2 linked regions of the Zea mays genome follow. Each later gene encodes a partner of the first gene's protein in a complex. Links are inferred from orthologs where the notes say so. Each region holds a gene or a part of one and is shown on either strand. Other genes may lie near its edges.

Region 1 (3,998 bases):
GGCGGATCTAGGAGGGGGGCTGTAGCTCCGGTCGCCCCCCATAATATCTATTTTATGACGTGTCTTAATAATATATACTTCATCTATTTTAAAATAGTAGTTATCATTTTAGGAAAATAGCAGGTTTATATAATTTTTGATTAAAACATGTGTTTTATATATGTGTCTAGATTCATGATCATCTATTTAAATATAGACATAAAAATTAAGAGCTAAAAGGCAACTATTTTGAAACGTAAGAGTATATTATAATATAAATACAACCTATAAAGGGTAACTAAGATATGCCACAATCTTCTTTCTGATCGTGTCATTCAGCACATGTATTTGGCCTCCATCTGTGACACCAGCACGCTAGGTGGTAGCGCGCGCATCCACGCTGGACCCCGTCCATGCTTCAGCAGTGTAAATCCACGCTATCACATAGGACGTAGTCATGAGCTAGCGCGTACGGCCAATGCACATCTAACAGTTAGCAGCGCGCATGTACCCAACGCAAGGGGCAGGCTGCAAGCCAAGGGCGACGGTAGGGGGGACACGGGAGCAATGTCCCCCCTAATTCTATAGGACATGTTAGTTTTTAGCTAATTCTCATGTAAATAGTGCAAAAAATGCTTCTAACAACCCCTTATTCTAATCTGGTCTCCCTAATTTTGGATCCTGGCTTCGCCCCTACTGCAAGCAGCACCATAACAGATCTGTTGTAACACGCTAGTACATCAGGCCTGCGAGAATGTTCCAAGATAACCGCTGGTGACTCCATCAAACATACTTTAACTTATAGCCCCTACTCTGATTCAATCGCAGATCCGACACGCCCGAAATAACGACCTTGCCAACCCAAAATTCAATCGGACTAGGCCTGTTTGGTTCAGCTTTTTTCTGACCAACTTTTCTGAAAATCTGGTTGTGGGGAGAATCTGGCTGTGGGGAGAATATGAGTATTATTACGATTACGTGTGGAGGAAGATAAAATTGTTCATAGGGTTCAGAATCTAGAAAGTGACGGATTCCTACTATTACAACGACTCAACCGATTATGTGTTTATGTTGATTTGGATGGTTTTTGCCCCCAACAAATTTTATAGAAGCTGGATGAAAAACTGAGCGTTTGGCAGTCCGCAGCAGCTTTTGGTGGCTAGAAGCTTCCAGAAGCCGAAACGCTTGAACCGGCCGCCCCGAGCACGAATGTACACCTATCCGAGTCCACCCAACTAATCACGCCCAATCAGAACAGACTCGGTCGCTTCACCACTCCACTCGCCGCAGGCCGCCGGGCGCCGCCGAGGGGATCGGAGCAAGATGTTCTTCCACATCGTGCTGGAGCGGAACATGCAGCTGCACCCACGACACTTCGGGCCGCACCTCCGCGACAAGCTCGTTTCCAAGCTCATCAAGGACGTCGAGGGCACCTGCAGGTAGGGTTTCCCATCCCTTCCTAAACCTGGCTAAGGCTACGAGGTGGAGGGCGGCGCTGAGATGGCTTGCGGGTTTCTCTCGCTCTTTCCTTTCAGCGGGCGGCACGGGTTCGTTGTGGCGATCACGGGTGTGGAGGACATCGGCAAGGGGCTCATCCGGGAAGGCACGGGATACGTCACCTTCCCCGTCAAGTACCAGTGCGTTGTCTTTAGACCCTTCAAGGGCGAGATCCTCGAAGCTGTCGTCACCATGGTGAACAAGGTGGGTGCCTAGTTGCCTCCCCGCTCGGGCTGTGCTTGCTTCGTTCGAATTGGATGTGAATTGGAGTGCTGGTTGGCTGGGTGGTGATGATCTTGGTGTTGGAGAATGTGATTGCCAGGATTGGTTTGGTATTTAAACTTTGTGTGTTATTGACTCTGGCACTCTGCAGATGGGCTTCTTTGCGGAGGCTGGGCCGGTGCAGATCTTCGTGTCCAACCATGTGAGTGATTCTGCCTTGTTTGGAGCTGCTTCATAGTCAAAGTGTTGAATGCTAAAGAAATTTCAGAATTCTTTCTGGCCATTCTAGGAATTATGCTCTGCTTACTCGCTCCTTTAGTCCTTTATCACTTCCATAAATATACATGGCTGCCTTTTGTCACAGGATACTAGCATAGACATCTTGTTTAAACTTCAATTAATTAATGTCAGTCAGTACTGTTTTGATGAGTAATGTTTTTCCTCTGAGCTATCAATTGCAATGCAGTTGATTCCAGACGATATGGAGTTCCAATCAGGAGATGTGCCGAACTACACAACTTCTGATGGATCGGTATGTCACTTTTCTATATATTTAAGTAGTGTTGAGTTTTCTCATTATCTGTAACTTCTGCAGAAGAATATGACATTTAGGACAAGTTAATTAGTTAAAAATGACCTTAAAACATCATATATTTAAAAACACAGGGTATATAACTTTTTAATCTCATCGAGTTTGCAGTAAGCACAAACTATATTTATGATTCATTGGATTATTGCTTTCTCATATGCTTTGCTAACTGTAACTCTTGAGGATTTTGGTGATATTTTGAAAAGTTTTTGTAAAAAATATATCTATATGCTAAATCTGCAAGTTGCATCAATGATTCAATATGTGGCTGCATTTGAATATATTTTTAAAAAGAGAGTACGTTTGGGTATTGGGTATCATGGTGAGTCACAATTGTTCCTTTCAAAGAATCCTTGATGCAGTCATTTTGCTGTGCTCATGGGTAGTTGCTTGTTTGTTTACTCAGGTGAAAATTCAAAAAGAGAGTGAGGTGCGGCTGAAGATTATTGGTACTCGTGTCGATGCTACAGAAATTGTAAGCTTATTACTGTTTACATTGTTTACAGTAAAATCCAACTTTGAATGCTCCTTTTTTTTTCTTTCAAATTTTGAGTATAGGCCTGAACATGGCAACCACATCACAAGTTCTATGGTGCCACTGAATGGTTGCATTTTTTCCGACGACATTATGTGAATGCAGAACATTTTGCAGTCACTTTTCTCATATTCTTTTCTAAGATTGTATGAGCAAAGGACTTATGCCTAGTAACCTTGATTAATGCCATATTAATCAGCTATGAACGCAGGATTGTGCTGTTCTTTTACCACATAAAAAAGTGATGTTCCGTCCTGTATCTTGGTTTGGAACTAACTAGGCCTTGGATACTCTAGTCTCGTACCCTCGTTTAGCACTAGCCTAGAAGATTTTTATATGCCTTACATCTTCTTGTGCCAAGAACTTATTGTTTATCCCTCGCGAAAAGCATATTAGATAGCTGAAGGGATATTTTCATTACAAAACTTCATTGTGCATTTGAATTCATACTTAGTGCCTTGTTATAAGTTCAATGCTGTACTTGTTCAATGTTCTAACGGTCTAATCTCTGCTCTTGCAGTTTTGCATTGGCACAATAAAGGATGATTTTCTGGGTGTTATCAGCGATCCTGGTGCGGCAGTGTAAATGGTCTAAGAAGCGAGATTGTACTCCATTGTTCTGACTTCTGAGTACTATCGCAGACGTGTGTAATCGCTGGTCCGTTAAAACTGCAATGGCTGTACTGACTGCGGAACTTGTTGAGAATGATGTGACTAGGACCTTGTTTAGGGCCTGTTTGGTTCTTTAGTATGGCCCTGATTGGCACAACTGCTGCTTATTGAAAAAACAGCTTATCTGATAAGCTGGTGAAAAATAGCTTCTGCTTGTTGACTGCTTTTAGTGTATTTTGAGAAGCAGCTGAACTGATAAGCTGCTGCAGAAGCTAACTGTTTGGTAAAACTTTTGCTTAAATTTGTGAAGAAGTTGAAAATAAGCTGTGCCAAACAAGGCCTATAGAGGCTAAAGTTTAGTCCCTACCTTGTTTGGTTGCATGGACTAAAAATATTCGTATTAAATGACTTGTAAGAAGACTAAAATATGCTTTAACATTCTTTTGTCGTTAGTGTAACTGAAATAAATGATGGCTAAAAGGTGGAATTAATATGATTTAGTCCCTTTTAGTTACCCTTCGAGGGATTAGAAACTAATAGTTTAGTCACTTTTACTGTTTGGCT
Region 2 (2,958 bases), on another chromosome or scaffold:
TCGGCTTCTCTAATCGTCGCTCGCCTGTTTGAGAGTGTTTACCAACATTGGTTGGCTGGGGGGAATTTTGGGAGAAGAAAAGAAAAAGGTAGATGGCAGTATTGTGGAGGACGGTGTGGTGCTTCTCCTTTCATCACGCTAGATGCTAGTGTGTGCCATGGTGGGGAGCCAATCTGAAGCCTCAGGCTGATTTCTGGTTAGTTGTGTGTTCGCCTTTCTGTGGAAGTTTTTGTTGTTGTTGTTGTTGTTGTTGTATCGACCAGATTGAGAGTTGAGTTGTAGTTCACATCAGAAGATCAGGCTTGGCAGTTCATTGGTTTTATGACTTGGATCATGTTCAGTTGCATCTTCTGGCCTTGGATCGTGGAGTCATATTCATATCCTGTACACAGAGATGCAAAATGAAGTGTCCTTATGCTGATAGCTGGATCTGTTAAGGCAGGCAGCAGAGGAAGAGATTCGGATGTAGAATGAGGTGTTGAATGTTTGCATATTGCAGCCTCAATTTTTTTTGTTGTTGATCCATACTCATAAATTTTTGAACGTTGTAGTTCTGATATTTTTGTACTTGCATCCTCAATCCTTGATTCTTCGTTGAACATATTATATTTTCGTGACATGCTTCTATGATCCTGCGATTGCGGGGGTTCGGTTAAAATAACATAATGTATGAACTAGGACTGAAATGTAGCAAGTGTTCTAAGTCAATCTCAGTATAATTTCGGCTTACATTACAGACTAAGTGGTTTGCTATCATTATATCCCTAAAAACAAAGACAAGGCAGAAATCTCTGCCATGGTCCTATACATAAGACCTGTCCAACAGCAAAATAACAAGCACGATGAGATGCTACCTAATTCAGATTCGCACAGGTGTTTGTGTAAAAATACAATTCGATGGCAGAAAATGGAACTGATTTATGACAAAAAAACATTTGGAAATAATTAATCTGATATAGAGCTGTCTACCGAAAACATTCTTTTATAGAGGTTCGCCATATATCCTAGAAAAGACAAGCTTGTTGGCTTGACTTTAATTGGTATATTTTATCTTTATGAATTATAATTAGAACAGTTCGAACAGATGGCTATGGCTTAAAGCCCCAGCGAACAGCTAATCTTATCGGCACCAAAAAGATGCAAGGAACCGAGTTATAGAGACTCGACACTGGCAGCTTACAGGAATTAGGGAAGTAGACTGCTCAATGGATGATGCACAATATCTCACCATCTGGTGATACGTACGATATGATAGGTAGGAAGCAAAAAAAAAAAAAAAAAACTCCTATTCCGAGGCCCAGCTCAGTCCACGCCGAGCATAGCCCAATCTGTAAGTTTGGACCAGAGCCCATGGCGATACGGCCCAGCACATAGGCATAGCCCTCCCGCCGTCATCCTTGGCTTCCCCGCTCCCGTCGCGACTCCAATCGCAATTCGCAATTCCCAGCCCCATTCCCCGTCGGCCGACTCCAGCGAGCGACTTCGCCCCGGTCGGAAGCACCACCAGCCACCAGCGATGTCTGGCGAGGAGGAGGAGAACGCCGCGGAGCTCAAGATCGGCGAAGGTCCATGCTCTTCCGCGCCGCCCTCCTCTCCTCTCCTCCCCTCCCTTCTCAACCACCGTCCAGTCCTTGGGCGCGCGGGCGGGCTAGGGTTTTCGTCCTCCCTCTCGATCTCACTCAGCTCACCCGTAAGCCTGTGGGCGCAGAGTTCCTCAAGGCCAAGTGCCTGATGAACTGCGAGGTGGCGATCATCCTGGAGCACAAGTACGAGCAGATCCAGCAGCACGCGTCGTCGGAGTCGGACCCGTCGTCGCAGGTGTCGCAGGTGTTCGAGAAGTCGCTGCAGTACGTGAAGCGCTTCAGCCGCTACAAGAACCCCGACGCCGTGCGCCAGGTCCGCGAGACGCTGAGCCGCTACGGCCTCGCCGAGTTCGAGCTCTGCACGCTCGGCAACCTCTGCCCCGACACCAGCGGCGAGGCCACCGCGCTCGTCCCCTCCCTCAAGTCCGGCGGCAGGTTCGTCGGCGACCCCGGGGACGAGAAGATCGAGAAGATGCTCAACGACCTCTCCCTCATCAAGAAGTTCGAGTAGAGCGGGAGCCCTCTCTTCTCTTATCTTCTTTTCTCTTGGAGTAGCGAGCATCCAGAGAGGAGGGGAATTCAACATCAAGACGATGTACTGATAAAATTTTACTTGCCTTACACTACTATCGTTGAGGTTCACGTCTGCGTATTGATTAGAACCTTGTTTGATCGATAATCCAATATACTAGTAGTATGTGTGTGGTTGATGATCTGTCTGGAATTCTACACGAGAAGCCTGCAGAGGATGAGGATCCGAGTTGGCCATGCCCTCTGTTCTTCAGCTCGAAATGTACTGATTTCCTTGCTATTGTTAAGGTTCATATTATCTTCATCCGCTTTCCATCTAGTCATGTATACATGAATTAATGGAACCTAATCGCTCGAGCACAGACACGCTTAACCTACGACTACGAACACATGTGTGGTTCAGCTATATCTCAAACTGTTTCTAGTCTGTCTACACAGACACGCTTCCATTGCGTGAATTTTAACTTTGTAGGCCTTCGATGCAAAGCACCCTTCCCCTAGGTCAGTGCTTGGATTATGTTCTGCTCTCTTCGGTTCCTTCGTGCTGTAGGACTCTTTCAAGGCAGAAATGAACGAACATCCAGTATATGTTCTTCAGTTCCTGCTCCTTCATGCTGTAGTACACTCCTTCCCAAATAGAAACCGCAGGCCCAGAACTGAAGACTCGCCGACACATCTTTTTCTTGCCGGTACTCAGGTTGGTGTTCTATGGATTAGTGGAACCTTGTTGGTTAATCAAGTTAATTAACATGTAAACTTAATTACCATTGCTATATCTAGCTCTATCACAGTGCGGACTGTTAGTATAAGCATCAAGTAGAGCACAAATCAAATTCAGTCACAA

The links.
Region 2: DNA-directed RNA polymerase II 19 kDa polypeptide (region 1) and DNA-directed RNA polymerase II 16 kDa polypeptide share a complex: the UniProt entries of both Arabidopsis thaliana proteins name them as parts of the RNA polymerase II complex. The link is inferred for Zea mays from reciprocal best matches to the Arabidopsis thaliana genes NRPB7 and NRPB4.

The regions. Positions count from the first base shown.
Region 1 is NC_050101.1:156,254,566-156,258,563, reverse strand, and holds DNA-directed RNA polymerase II 19 kDa polypeptide, read left to right. Parts: upstream 1-1,198; 5' UTR 1,199-1,302; coding exon 1,303-1,418; intron 1,419-1,514; coding exon 1,515-1,680; intron 1,681-1,849; coding exon 1,850-1,900; intron 1,901-2,164; coding exon 2,165-2,230; intron 2,231-2,693; coding exon 2,694-2,762; intron 2,763-3,342; coding exon 3,343-3,408; 3' UTR 3,409-3,783; downstream 3,784-3,998. UniProt on the Arabidopsis thaliana protein: DNA-dependent RNA polymerase catalyzes the transcription of DNA into RNA using the four ribonucleoside triphosphates as substrates. Component of RNA polymerase II which synthesizes mRNA precursors and many functional non-coding RNAs.
Region 2 is NC_050099.1:248,642,058-248,645,015, forward strand, and holds DNA-directed RNA polymerase II 16 kDa polypeptide, read left to right. Parts: upstream 1-1,296; 5' UTR 1,297-1,516; coding exon 1,517-1,565; intron 1,566-1,708; coding exon 1,709-2,094; 3' UTR 2,095-2,458; downstream 2,459-2,958. UniProt on the Arabidopsis thaliana protein: DNA-dependent RNA polymerase catalyzes the transcription of DNA into RNA using the four ribonucleoside triphosphates as substrates. Second largest component of RNA polymerase II which synthesizes mRNA precursors and many functional non-coding RNAs.